Linked DNA regions of Diceros bicornis minor. The protein of the gene in region 2 interacts with the protein of the main gene of each other region in a biochemical or structural test. Links are inferred from orthologs where the notes say so. Each region holds a gene or a part of one and is shown on either strand. Other genes may lie near its edges.

Region 1 (7,414 bases), on a different chromosome or scaffold from region 2:
CTGAGTGACCTCCTGGGGCAGGAAGCCCTGGCCCCGTGCCACATCTACCCCTCCCCACTCCACCTCTCACACTGAGTGGAGCCCACCATCTCAGCTGACGGGGAGGGGAGGCACTAGGCGAACTTAGACCAACTTTAAAGGGCAGGAGTTCGAACAGATATGAGACTTGTCCCCACACCACACAGCTAAAAAGGCCGAGGGCCACTGCTCCATAGATGGGTTACACAGTACAGGGGGCAGTGCCCTAAAATAACCTTTGCCCACTCTCTTCAGGGCAAGGGTTGGTATTCTTTTATGTATTTTTATGTGCCAAGGGCTGTTCTAAGAAGTTTACAAATATTAATTTTCCCAAAAAGTGAGTATACTAGCTCTTTTTCACAGAAGAGGTAACCAAGGCTCAGAGAAGTTAAGTAACTTGCCCAAGGTCACACAGCTCACAAGTGGCACGGCCAGGATTTGAAGCCAGGCCTACTTGCCCTGGGCTCTGTGCTCTGGTGTTGAGCCCTACTTCCTCCCTAATTTTGAGGTTTCTTAACCAGAGAGGCCCAGCAGAACCACTTGGGAAGCTTTTTCAAAATATAGATTGATAGGCCCCTCCCTCCCTAGACCAACTTAACTCAAATAGGAGGAGACTTAAACAAGTGTTTGGCGGTTGCCCAGATGGGCACTCTTGGGGTGCCCGCCAAGAGAGGACACACAGGATGGCTGAAATGGACACTCTGGGTCTCAGTGCCCCATTGGTACCAGGAGAAGCCTGCTTGGGTCTTTATCCGGGAGCTGGATATTCCCTGGCTTCTAGGAGCTGAAGATGGAACCAGAGTCCAGGCAGGGGCCCTCTCTGCTGCCACCACCTCTTCCCTTATGGCTCTCATAGGCTCCCCATCAAAATCTGCTCTGCCGCCCATTATCATAACTCCCAGCTCAGCGGGCACTCTTAGTTTTACAAACACGTAACTGAGAATAGCTTCCTTTGTAGGTCTTTGTGCCTTAGACTTCAACCATATTTTAATCCCCAAGTAAATAGTGAGCACTCGGTAAACACTGTTGAACCAATGGGGTGCTCTTTTTAAGCGGCGTTGGGGGTGCGGGGATCAGCCCAGGGGCAGCGGCGGGAAGGAGAGGCGGGCGAAGCCGCGCTCCGCGGGAAGGCGCGTTTGCTACTCGCGCCGGGGCCGCGAGGGGGCGCTGGCCCCCAGGAAATCACGCGCAGGGTGGGAGGGGTGTGGGCCGAGCCCGGGACAGGGGCCGGGAGTCGTGATGAGTCAGTTTCCTGCAAGGCGCTCCCCGCCCGCCAAAACTGCACTTCCACTCCGGCTGCGCGTCACCCCGGGTGGGGAGGGGGAGAGCGGGAGGGGGCCAGGGGCCGCGAACACGTCACGCTGAGGCAGCCAGGCTTCCGAAACCCCCGCCACTGTTAGGAAACCGCGCGCTCTCGCGCCGTCTCTGTGACACGCACACACGCGCGCACACACACCGCACGCACTCCACCTTATCTCCACACCCAAAGCACGGGATGAGTCAGATCCCTGGAAAATAAAAATAGACCGGAGTAAGGAAAACAAAACCGCTCGAAAGGCCTCCCCGAAACGCGACGTGGAGGGAGGGACGGAGGGAGGGAGCCGCCCGGGCGCCCTAAAGCGCCAAACCCAGTTCCAAGATTCTTTTCCGCGCGAGGAGGGCGCAAGGGTCCCCCGAGGGCCCGGGACAGGGCGGACGCGCTGTGGTCCGCGCTGGGCAGCTGTGTCCCAAGGACCACTCGCCCCCCTGCTCCGCCCAGTCCAGTCTCCCTCGGAGAGGGAATTCTCCACTAGGTTGGGGGCGCCCGGGCCCCCGGATGCAGGCGACAGAGGCCCTGAGCAGCGTCGCGCCCCCTGAAGCCCCACCCCTCAAAGACGCGACCCCACCCCGGCGGGGGCTGCGCGGCCCGCAGCGCCGCAGAACACCGCTCCCGCCCCGAGCCCATCGGCGCGCCCCAAGGGCAGGCTGGGCCGGGGGCTCCAGGCGGCGGGAGCGAGGTGGGGAGGACTCCTGCGCCTCCCGAACTGACCCGCGTGCGCCAGCCCACTCAGCGCGGGGCCGCGGCTCCGGGTCCCCGAGAGTGCGCCGTGGGGCGGGGACCGGACACCCGGTCCTGGATCTCCCGGTGTCTGGGCTTCCCTGGGAACACTCTGTGCCAGCCAAATAGGTCACTGTGTTTATGGGGGGGACAAACCGAGGAGGGGTAGGGAAGGAGACTTCTGCGTCGCCACTGTCCCCCAGCCCGGGCGGGGTTCTGATCTCACTCGGCCCGTTCCCCGGGGTCTCCTTGTCACCGTGAGTCACCCTCTCGCTTGCCCTTAAGGGACGTGTCCTGACACGTTCCCATGGGCCAGGGACACAGCTCGCGCTGACCTCAGCGCCACCGGGTGGCGGACACGGCGGCGTCGAGGACCCAGACCTCAGGGGTTCGGGCCGGGGCGGCACCGATCAGATCCGAGAGCCGCCCGGGAGCGGATCCCAGAGGAACCTGCTCGGGTCGGCGCTCCCCGCCCCTCCCGGGCCCCTCGGCGGACAGGGGTGCATCCTTACGCCGCGAGCGAGCCGCGCGGGGGGCCCGGGGCGCACCCGCCGGGCGGAGAGCTCCTGGGGCGGCGGGTCCACACCTTCCCCCGCCCCAGCTGTGTTTCAAGGGGACGGCAGCGTGGCAGGGGACCTTCATACTGTGCTCCCTCCCCAACACATCCCGACCCCCGTCACACGCGCGCTTACAGACACCCGTGTGCGCAACGCCGAGACCCACGCGCAGACCCACTCACGTCATTCACTTGTGAACACAGCACACACCCCCGGATACACACGTCCCCGCGGACACAACACACGGACATGCAGGGATACACACACGGACACGCTCAGCTCAGCTCAAGCCGCCTCCTGGGTCCGCTCTTGCCCGCCGTGGCTCCCTCACCTCCTCCGAGGGTCTCGGGGTCTCCGTGAATCCGCGCCCGGCTCCGGGTCTCCGAGCTACCGACCGGGGCAGCTGCTCACACCTCCGCTGGCGCCGCCGGGCGCAGCCCATGTAAAAAGGCTCGGCCCTGGAGGCGGGACCGCTGGCTCCACCCCCAGCGCGCCTGGACCGCCTCCCGGGACCCGCGGCTGCTCCCCGGGCCTGGCCGCGCTCCAGCTCCGCGGAGCTCCGAGGCCGACGTCGCGTGCTGCCCGAGCGCGCTCCCTTCCCCGCACCCCCGGCCTGGGTTGTGCGCTTGACACATTTCCCCACGAATTGAGCCACAAATCTGGGTATTTTTAGCTGGGGAGAGAGTTGGCGCTCCCCAGAAGGGGATGGCGTTGTTAGGATGAGCCCCTTTCTGGCCCACTGCGGGCCGACTCTGGGCGAGGATTTACCGAAAGCAGCTGAAAAGACCAGGGGTGACGTTAATAAATGAAAGTCCTTAAATAATAAAAATGATGCGTCTCACTTTGCACTCCCCAGAAAAGCCCCACTCTACCAGCGCTGTTCCCGCGGATCCCTCACTACACCGCCTCTCCCCGAGCACCTGGGGCACCCAGACACCCCAACAGAGCCTCTGGGAGGCCAGAACGGAATTCAATCCCCTTTATTTCACAAACGAAGAAACTGAGGCCCACAGAACTAAAGGGATGCAAAGCTGTTGCTCATCAAATGCCTCGGGGAAGGAGGGAATTGGAGACACTTCCCAGAAAGGGCCCACGTCTCTCCAGGGGAAATCTGACATTGAACTAAGCTCCCCACCCCCTCCTGCTCCCCACACCCACCTCTCTCTCACCTCAACAGAAGAAACCTCTGTGACTGCAGCTGATTTGATGGCAGGAAGGGCAGAAGGATTTGGTGAGTTGTCTCCTGGATATTCCTCACACAGCCCACATTCACTGCTGGGTAAACTGAGGCTCAGAGAAGTTCATTGACCTGGCTCAGGTCACACAGCAAATAAATGGCTGTGGTTGGAACATAGGCCTTTTGCGTCTCACCCAGAGCTCTCTGCCTGTTGCCCCCTCTATTTCAGTGGCTCTAGAAACACGAGAATGGGGAGACACCAGCACCCCTCATTTCCAGGCAGCTTACTGAGGTGACATTGAGGAAGGACAGTTCTGGAAATGTCCACTGGCACTCTTGACCGATACAGAAGCAGGTGAGGTGCCCATCTGCTCCTTCCTACCTCCGCACCCCCCAGCCCTGCTTGCACCTCACCTTTGCCTCCTTCCTTCACCTAAAACATTTGCAGTTTCTGCTTTTAAAAAAATTGCAGAGAACAGAGTGTTAATCTGAACAGAATTCCCACTAAAAAATAGAATCCACGCTTGGAGCAGCTGCAGTTGCTGACACCTAGGGCTGTTCGGCGTCTGGAAATCTCTGCCCGGACATGCCCAGTTTTCTTCCTCTAATGCAGCTGACCTCAGGGAGGACAGGCCTCCTCCTTCACTGCTGGGATGGAGCCAGGGTAGGGGCGGGAGGGCGTGGCACCTGACCCTCTGGCCTGCCTGGTATTGGAGTCAGGCCAGGGTTGTAGCCGGACCTCAGGAGGGCCTCAAACAGGCCAGGACCCCAGGACCAGCCCCCTGCTCCCCAGCTCCTTTCTCCACACCCCCAACACACACACCCACACCACCCGAAGCCTAGGTTGTCAAATGTCCAGCAGGGGACAAGCATCTCCTCCTGCCTTAAATCCCCTTGGCTCTCAGGCATTTCAAATAGACTTGACATTGTCTGCCTGTTTACTCTGGGGAAAAAAATTTTTTAATGAAGGCTTGTATTGAATTACTTAAAGTTTTGTGGTCCTGAGCTTCACAATGAAATAATTCTTTTTGTTGTTGTTGTTGGGAAGTGAGGTTTTTTTTTTTTTTAATAACTTCTAGCTCAACACCACCACCACAACAGAATTCAACAAATATTTATTAGGCACCTACTAAGTGTCTAGTGCTTCAGTACTCAAAAGAAAGTGTCCAACCCTACACCTGAACGTGTAGCTAGGCATGCCCTTAAGGAGGACTTCCGCTCTGAAGAGAGCAAAGGAGAAGGTTGTTAGAAGTCACACTCCCCAAACACACACACACACACACACACACACACACACACACGTGTGCACAGAACAGGTCCCAGGCCAATCTCAAGGGATCTGCTGCAAACCACATATTCCGTTCAGAGAAATTCAGACCAAGCTCTCACAGGGGTCTCTGGGCGTCTTCTGTCTGCTACCACCCTCCTCTCCCCCCAAAGCAGGCAGCCCCAGGGACAAAACAGCCACTGGCCTCTTCTATGTCAGGGCTCAGCATGTTGAGACATGTTCTTGAGGGCCAGAGAGCCAGTCAGGACCACAGCCTGCTGCCCAGGCATGCTCCCCAGGCATGCTCCCCAGGAAGCAAGCAGCTTAGGGACGGAGCGAGGCTCAGCCTGGGGGCGAGAGGGTCCAGATCAGCCCCCACCCAGGAGGCAGGTGATGACGGAAAGGAAAGGTGGAAAGCTGGAGCCTGAAGAAGGAGGATGTGAGGAGGGCTCAGAGGTGTCTGCAGGAGTACCCAGGAAGGGAGAGGAAGTTCTGGGAACAATGTCACCATTTCTCAGAAAAGGCCCGGGGAGTCCCAAACGGGCAGCCAGCTTTCAGAGGAATTTACCTCCACACAGGCCTTCTAAGAAGTGAGACCCCAGAAAAGAGGGAGAACAGAGATATTATTATACTACTGAGCAGAAGAAGCCTTGCTTACTTCTTTTTTTTTTTTTTTTGAGGAAGAAGGAGATTGGGAACCCCCACCCTGACCTTCTGGAGGCTTTACCCAGCCAGTACAAAGATCAGGACTGACCACAGAGTTAGGCAGAGAAATTTGTAACAGAATTTGTGCCACATAAACACTTCTAGCCTCCCTAAGCTAGAAATTTCACCTTGCCTAAGCCTGAAATTTCACCGTTAGAAATTCATTCCTTTGGCATGAATTCTTGCTTCATCAGATAAGATCATGTAGGCAAAGTGCTTAGCATAGTGCCTGGCACATAGAAATCACTCCATGAATACTAGTTATTATTATTGCTCTACAAATGTCCCTGGGGAAGGCATCCCTTGGAATTGAGTAATCATTTATACTTTGGGGTATCTTAGGTAGGTTTCCCAGAAAACACACTCTGCAGTAGAGACTTGCTTGAAGGAGGTTTCTTGGGACTGCATTTGCAATCAGCATCTGTGGGACCATAAAGGAAACAGGATTGGGCAGAGAGAGGAGTTGGGCCGAGATGGAGGCTGGAGGCCCCAGAGAGGCCTCTGTTGAGCCCACAGGGAGCTCTTGAGCTAGGAGTTCCCTGAATGGAAGCAAGGGGGTTGGGCTTTTGTACCCCTGCTTCAACCAGTCTTTTGGATGTGGCTGTCCCTGGAGCAGAGGGGTGCATGAACTTGGGCAAGAGAGCTCCTTTATCTGAGGCTGATTCCTAAAGAAGGGCTCAGCTGAAGCATCAGTGCCAACACTCGCAACAGCCAGTGGGGAGAACGAGTGCCTGGCTCCTGCAGAGGCTTCTGGGTGGCACAGCACAGAGTGAATGAGTTGATCAGATCATTTAGGGACTAGAAGGTGGTGAGGAAATGCTGTGAACACAGGCCACCTGAGGAGTGAAGGGCTCTCTGTACCTTTGCACATATTGTTCACTCTTCTTGGAATCAGTGTTTCTTACCAACCTACCTCATCTCTACTCCTTTCTTCACGTGTTGAACTCCTATTGATCCTTCATGACCCAACCTACGTGACCCCTTGTGGGGAGGCCTTCTCAGGGCTCCCTCTGGCTCCCAGAGCTCCTGGTGAGTAATCCACTCACTGTGCTTCGCTGGCCTGCTGGGTTTACATGCCTGTGGCATCCTCTGAGCTGGGAACTGGTGGGGATAAGCCATATTTTATTCATCTTTGTACCTTCAAGGCCTAGCAGCCTCAGCCGGAGTTCAATCAATATTTATGGAAGGGCCATTTTTGACTTGCACTCTGAGGTTAGGCTTTAGTGCCGCTGCATCTGAGCCCTCTCTCTTATTTATTCATTTGTCTGTTCACTCATTCATGCATTAAAATATATATATATATATATATATATGTATATAATTAACATTCACTGCTCAACCCAAAAACTGGAACATTACAAATCACCGACACCTTCCGGTGAGTTCCTCTACTATCCTGATCCCTTCCTCCCCCACCCCGAAGTAGACAGTATCTTGAATTTTATGTTGGACTTTCCTTTGTTTTCAGTAGTTTTGTCACATGTGACCAAGACAGGAATGCTCACCCGTTTTTCTCTGTGCCCTCCTACATTTCCCAGCACCCTCTGCAGTTTAGACAGGGTCGTGTGACTAGTTCTAGCCAATGAAATATGAACATAAGTGACATTGGTCTCTTTAGGGCTGAGGCCAAGTGAATTCTCCAGCATTTCTGT
Region 2 (7,497 bases):
GCTTACAAATTTCTTTGACCTCAACCCACAGTATGAAATATATTTTATATCACAGTCAGCACACACAAGTATGTATAATTAAAACAAATTTTCAGGAAACAAAACCCACCCTTACTAAATATTATGCCCTCTAGTATATTCTCTTATATTCTTTTCTATTTTCTTCCTTAACAACACAAAGTTCTAGACTCATTAAACTCATTTTCATGATACTCTAGGTCATGACAAGCAGTTTGAAAACACTGCTTTCGGCCCCTAAAACTTTTTATAACTACTGAAGAAAGTTAAATGTTCTTTAAACAGTCTAATCAATTCTTTTCTTTTTTACCCAGAGTTATTCAAACAGGAAAAGTGACAGGGAAAAAATATTAAATAACATATGACCATTTGAAACCACACTTGCATAGACCCTTCACTTCCTCCCTGGGTAATAAGAGGCAGAATTCAAACAAAAAAGGAAGGATGCTACGGGAAGTAAACTACAAAGGAAAAATCATTCTAAAACTGAATTTCCACACAGAATCCCATTTGCGTGAGTTTTTTACTTTATTTTTAAAAGTTCTGTGTCATTTCTTTTATTATTCTAGAAGTATTTGAATATCATCAAATGCAAAAAGTTTAAGATGGGGCATATTATAGTTATATTATCTGCTATGGGATGATGAACAATTTTGAATAAAATGTGATCCCCTCTTCATTTGACCGTGTTCACTTCGTAATTATTAGCAAGGCAGTAAATAATCTACCAAGGAGCAGTCTCATTAGTGCCCATTGAATTTCAGTGGCATTAATTTGCAATAAAAGAACTGAAAATTAAATGGAAAAGAAAATAGTTTCCGGAGTCCACCATAAGGTTATGGAATTCATCTCACACCAGTGCCTTTCTTCACATCAAGGAGTTTAAAATGTTGTGTGAATTAGACTTAATCGTTATATTTTGTTCTAACACTTTTTAAAGGGAGGGGCAGAATAAATTCTTTTTCTCTTTCCATTTTAACCCTGAATTAAAACAAGTGAAATTAATTTGAAATATGCCAACTTTTTAAAGTTTTGTTCATCGCTTGTCTTTTAAATAATAACTCAGGCTGGACCTGCTTAGCTGTGGGATGCTTTTAAGTCCTTTGAGGAGGCTGAGGGATATAAGTATGTTCAGATACCCCAAGAGTCTGCCCTTCAGTATTCTCTGAGGCCAATCTGCACCTTCCTCCTGTTTCTTCTGCTATAAATATCCCTGGAAATAGAATACTAAACAGAAAACGGTCCACAGCTGGCAATGCAGAAGGATCTGGGCGAGGGCAGGAGGCAAGTCCAGACACCAATGTACCGTCAGGCAGTGCCTAACTCAGCGCCCAGCCACGTGTGCGCCCTGGAGCCTCCCAAACACACTTCAGGGTATCTGGTCCAGCGGGCGCCTAGGGCACAGGTATTCAGAAATACACACCCTTCCCAGGTCCATCAACAAGAAAAGGGAGAAAGGAGAGGAGCAAGGAGGAGGAAAATATAACGTCTACTAGAAAAAAAAAAAATAAGGACACAAGTCACAGGGAAGTCACAGAAGTGTCCCCTGTGTCCTGGACTGCCAACGCTTCTTCCAGAGCGACTGAAAGGTGAAGAACCGAGCTGACCCGGCACCCGCACCAGGGGCATTCTCTGCCCGGTAGGCCAGAAAGGGAACTTAGCTGGCAGGAGAGTATTCCAAAACCTTCGTGTTTCGATATGGCATGTTTTAAACTCACAGGACACCTATAAATTCCCGGCTGTCAGAAGTCATATGCCAGCAATTTGCTTCAACACGGACCCAGCCAGATAACTGGGAAATCAGAAACTTGTTAAGACCCATTCAACCCCTGTATTGCTCTCCTGAGGAGCGCAGTTCAGTCCTAAAGCCCTGGAGCGTGCGATGGGAGGAGGGAAAGCAGGTGCTACAAATCTCTTCCCCCAAAAATCATCATCATCATCATCACCACCATAGTGGGCATGTTTCCAATCCGAAATTCTAGATGAAAGGTAATTTTGCAAGCACATTAAAAGAAAATTTTAAAATACTAACAACAAATGAAACTCTGACGTCCGCGAACCCCAAACACCTCTAGCCCGAAATACCACAGCTGGACATTTACGAGGGACTCAGAGAGCCCCGTGTTTATTTGCTTTGGGGTGTTTCCCCCGCAAATAACTGCTGCTCTGTACGGCTTTCCAACATCTGCTTAGTCAGGAAGCGCACAGGGTTTCGGATCTGCCTGTCACGCAGACGGCAGCGGGTGAAGAAGAGAATCTTTTTAAGCCGCCCGGGGAGAGAACTTGACGCTCGGAAGGCGAGATCCGCAAATCGCTCCCGGGCCGGCCGCGCGCGGGCACTGGGGTGGCGCGTCCCGCGGCTCCTGCGCCCGGGGCCCCGCGGCCTGCGGCCTCCGGCGAGCTGGGGCGGCGCGGGCCCCGCTCCCCGCTCCCTCCCGCCCGCCGGGCGCGCGGCGGCCACCCCGACGTGGCGCGGCGGGGGGCGCGGGTACCTGTAGAACGCCGGAGCGCCGGCCTCGCGCAGGGCATAGCCGCTCGGCTCGTCCTCCAGGTAATAGGGCACCTGCTGGCCTTGGGGGTGCAGGTAGGGCGAGAGCTGCGGCGGCGGGTGCAGCAGCATCAGCGGGCTCGGAGACACGCTGTTGAGCGGCGGGAAGCCCCCCAGGCCGTTGGCGCCGAACGCCGCCGCCTCGGACCCCGGGCCGTAGGCGAGGCCGGACTGGCCGTAGACGGACGCGGAGGCGGCGGCCGCGGCGTTGAAGTCATACGCGGCGCTCTCGGGGTAGTCGTACACGGGGGGCTTGCTGCTCTCCACGTACACCTCGCCCAGGGGCCGCTCCAGGGGGATCTTGAGCTGCGGGCGGTTCAGGGCCTCCAGCTCGTTCCCTTGGATCTGGTGGAGCAGGGCCATTCCGGATGCTTTGGTGTGGAGGGTCATGGTCATGGCCAGTGGCCGCGGGCAAGGCGCATACCGTCTCCCCGCGCGGCGGAGGGCTCAGCAGCCGGCCGGCCACCTGGAAGAAGAGCACAGCCCGCGGTTAGAGGCGGCGCAGCGCATGTCCCGCCGCGACACCGGCTCTGGCCCTGCCCCGGGAGCCGGCCCGTCCCGTGGAGCCCGCGGCCGGACGCGAGCAAGTGCAGCCCCGCGCGAGCGCGCTCCGCCAACTCCCGGGCTCGGGTCTCCAACTTTAAGTACCGGTCTCCCGAGCTCATATGCATCGCAAAGGTGCTGGAAGGCGGCCAGCGGCTGTTGCCTTGCCCTGACATTGGCTTAAACATCACTCCGGGCGCAACTTGTTTTGGAGCGATCCCAAAGAGCAGCTTCCCTGAACTTTACTTTACTTGTCGCTGCTGGATGGAGGCTGAACTTCAGTGCAGGAGGGCGGGGGCGCCGAGCAATCTCCTAAAGGTGGCCCAGGGAAGATGGGGTTTAAAACATACTCGGAAGACTAATTCAGGGGCCGGCTTTCTCTAACGTGCTGCCTTATGTGCCCCGTGCCAGACTCCAATCTATCTCTGTTTGTCTCTCTCTCTGTTTGATTCACTCTCCTTGTTGGCTGGAAATATGTAGTGTGTACATAGAATGACCCTGGGGAGGACCACTCTGTAACTGAGATATGGCAGATAGAATAGGGTGTACGGTTGCATATGCAGCCAGCCACAGACAGCTATATTTAGCAGCTGCAGGGACTGACAGAAGGCATCTAGGGAGAAGCGGGTGGAGATTTAAGGTGTACATATAGGAAGAGCTGCATTTTGCAATCTGGAGAATGCTGACGGACCTCAGTTTCCTTATCCGCAAAATTCTTCCAAAGTGGTCCATTCTAGCCAGGACCTTCTGAGATTCTCCCAGTCGGACTTGTATGTTTGTGTTGGACCACAGCACTGTACTTCCTCCCATTAGGAATTCTCATGTGAATGATGATTCACAAAAACCTTTGGTTAGGAGCACACGGGGTTCGTGCCTTCCACAGGTTATGCAACCAAAACTTCAGAAAACTGAATATGAAATGTGACCTTTTCATATAAGGCGTAACCTCAGGTCATTAACCAAATTCTTGGCAATTATGTTACACTGTTGGTCGAACCAAGAAATTTTAAAATGCAATGGTACATTTCTGTTCTTTAATTCTACAACTGGACCTTCTCGGTTCACTTTGGCTAGGATATGCAGAATCAAATATCCAGATAAAAAGGAATAGAAAAAAGTTTTGAACTGAATTAAAAGGTAAGCATACACACACACACATATATAAACAAAAACATAAGGTAAATATACTGTGCACCCATATTCTTGGATAGTTTATACTTTTTAATAAACTTCCTTTGCCCCAGCCTAATAGACTCTGATATGACCATCAGATACAACCGTTAATACTTTGCTGTAATTGCTATCCGAAACACCCAACAGAGTACCTGACAAATCTTCATGGCATATAAGGATGCCAAGGTTGCTGTTACTAATGGCAATATTTTTGGATATTTTAATACTAATAAGTACACATTTTACCTAATTCTTACAAGAACAGACAGACTATTGGGGGACAATATGCAGATGTAGCTGATTTATTATGAAGCTAAAATTGAGCTTAGCATCAATAACTATCCATTGTAAGCAAAGAAAGGGTTAAAAACACATTAGGTGAATCACAGATATTTCTCTTTATGGCCAGCAACCATTACTTTCCAAAGCAATTTTTTTACAGATGATTTCGTTTTCGTAAATTACACTTCCAATTTTCAGATGTCTTTTTTAAACACATGCAAAAGCACTTCATAGGGCTCTTAAAAATCTGAACCTGCCAAATTATATAGAAATTGCACAAAGAATCCTACAAGTCTTGAAAGAAAAAGGAGACGCACACATAAACCCATGGAAAACAGCAAATCCTCATCTCCCTGCTAGGATACAGACACTGGCCAGAAAGGTAAGTTGCTTTCTCAAAATGCTCAAGCTACGAAGAGAGAAATCAAAACAATCCTACCCTGCTGGATCAAGAGCGTCTTTCCAGAAATGTTCCATGGGCTTGGAGAAGTCAAGGGCTTGACAGTGAGAAGGGAGGAAGGAATGTGCTCACATGTGCGGGTGGCTCCGTGTGTGAGCGAGGCAGAGCGTGTGTGGATGTGTTTGTGTGTGGAATGGCAGGGATTCGGGAAGCAGCCAGTAGGCAGGGCACTTGGCAGCCCCTCCCGGCAGACACAGCAGCTGGGCTGCTGCACAGAGCTGGATGAATGGCAGTGGAGAGTGAGGAGAAGCTTGCTGTCTGCTCATGGGGAGCAGTGTGGCACAGCTAGAGTCAGCATTATTGGGGAGAAGCAAACTCCAGCATCCTTTGCTCCTTATCCTGGGAGCCTGAAAGTGCCCCATGCTTTCCACTGCCATCCTGAGCAACAGGGAGAACAGGCTTGCTGTAAATCATAGGCTTACGGCTAAAATAGAATGCCAGTCAAAAGTATATGGCTATCAAGTTTACAAAATGTGACATGGGTGGTTTCTCCTGAAGAATATAATTTAACAATAAAGGCCTTCTGGGATACGCTTGGATCAGATGCCTTGCTGGCCCAAGCTCCCGGTCTCCGAACAGACACACTATTGCCATGCCTCCGATTGCACCAGGAAACCAGACTTTGGAATAAATGTTTTGGCATTCTAGGGATGTGTTTCCAGCTGAAATGTAATATTCCTCCACCTCATCAACCAAACCCACAAACCTTTCCACGAATAGCTCAGTTGACTGTTTTCTGTAAACATATGAAAAAATATGTTATTAAAAGCCTGGGGTACGAAGATAAGACAAAGGTGGGTGCCTTTGTTTTAAACTGATTTTAGGCTCTCTGGTTGTGCCAGCGTTGATCATGGGGATGGGGCTCTCATTTCCCAATGATGCCCACATGGATCCATCTGGTCTTCAACTTTTCTCTTGACCATGATGCTAACACACGATAATAAGGTGTTCCTAGTGTGCCCTCGCCTAGGGTTTCAGGACATGTGACACCTAGTGGACCCTTTGCTGCCAAACATTAGTCACTCCCTTGGGTATTAAATGACCCTAATCACAATGCCAGGAGTGGCCAGTCTCTGGCCATGAGACCCTATGCAGTTACCGAGAGATTTATGAGTGGCTCTTCAGACCACTCTGAAGTAAAGAAAGAAGTAAAAAGTTATTTGAAAAAAAAAATTACAAAATGTTAATGATGTCATAATGCCAAAATTTATTTTGTACTTTGAAAGGCCTGAAATATTGCTATATTGGAGCACAGAAGAACCCTCTCTACAATCAGCGATAAAGTCAAACACTGAAAAGTAAGCCAGTTACCCTTTGTATGTAGGTGACGATGGTGAATCCTGACTCCTCCTTTGCGTCAGCGGTGGCCACCCATGCAGTAGACCAGTCCAAAATAAAACAAGAATGTGCAAGGAAGGGAGGAGAGAGAAGGGAAGAGAAGGAATGGGAAAAGGAGAGAAATAAAGAAGGAAGAAGAAAGAAAGGGAGAAAGAGAAAGGAAGGGGAATCTGCAACTATTCTCCTTGAACGTAGGAAGGATACGATGTCTAGCTATCTCTTCATAGACTTTGATTATTATGAGGCTAACGATGAAAGTTAGTCCAAGATGTCCAACAAGGGCAGTTTTCTTAAACACTTTCTCTCCAGCATTCTCTTTCCCCTCCTTGGTAAGATTCGTCCTCCAGGCTTGGTGATGGGGGTGGGAAAGGATACTGCACCTTGCCAATTTTCTTCTAGTGCTTGTTTGCCAGAGGACTTTGAGGGCTGTCTTTCTCTTGCCTTCCATATTCTGCAGCATTCGAGCTATGCAATCTCTCCCTTTTCCTTCCACTTCTATCACCCTCCTTCAGCCCATCATTCCCTTACCTGTTGTAAGAGCCTCCTAGGGACCTCTGCTTCTTCCCTCCTCCCACTTCTTCCCAGATTCTGCTGCCTTTTGTTTTCTTGGTTTTTATTCCTTCGGGATACATCTTCTCGGTTCCACCATTGACCCAGATGGTAGCTTCCTCAGGAGTCAGGCCTTCCTCTCTTCCCATGACTATCCTGTCTAGTGTATGTCAGGGAAAAGCATACCCTTTTTTAAGGTCCAGCCCAAACACCACCACATCCATTATGCGTTCCTTTATTCTTTATTCAAAGGGAATTTCCTCTTCTCTGAACTCCAGTGGTATTTCTCATGCATTTATTACATTCTTCCCTGAATTAGAGTTATTTATATATATTTTATGCCCTCATCCCACTCAGAAGCTCCTTGAGGACAGGGTCTACATAGAGTTATTTGGGAATTCTCTGAGTGCCTAGCACTGTGTCTGCTCATATTAGGTCATCAAATATTTGCTAATTTATTAATCAGGATTCTTAAAAGGATAAGATAATGTTACATCCTTTTTGATAACCATCTCGAAAAGCTAACTTTCCATGTAATGTTCTACCATTTATAAAACTGTTTTTGCTAAAAGATTATCTTTGTATC

What was found. The genes of interacting proteins can lie anywhere in the genome.
Region 1: the proteins of ESR1 (region 2) and CDKN1A form a complex in vitro, tested with the Homo sapiens proteins (2 studies listed by BioGRID). The link is inferred for Diceros bicornis minor from reciprocal best matches to the Homo sapiens genes ESR1 and CDKN1A.

What each region holds. Positions count from the first base shown.
Region 1 is NC_080753.1:28,264,962-28,272,375, forward strand, and holds the start of CDKN1A (cyclin-dependent kinase inhibitor 1), read right to left. Parts: upstream 3,039-7,414; 5' UTR 2,945-3,038; exon of another isoform or gene 2,879-2,944; intron 1-2,878. UniProt on the Homo sapiens protein: Plays an important role in controlling cell cycle progression and DNA damage-induced G2 arrest. Involved in p53/TP53 mediated inhibition of cellular proliferation in response to DNA damage.
Region 2 is NC_080778.1:16,963,444-16,970,940, forward strand, and holds the start of ESR1 (estrogen receptor), read right to left. Parts: upstream 3,022-7,497; 5' UTR 2,963-3,021; coding exon 2,511-2,962; intron 1-2,510.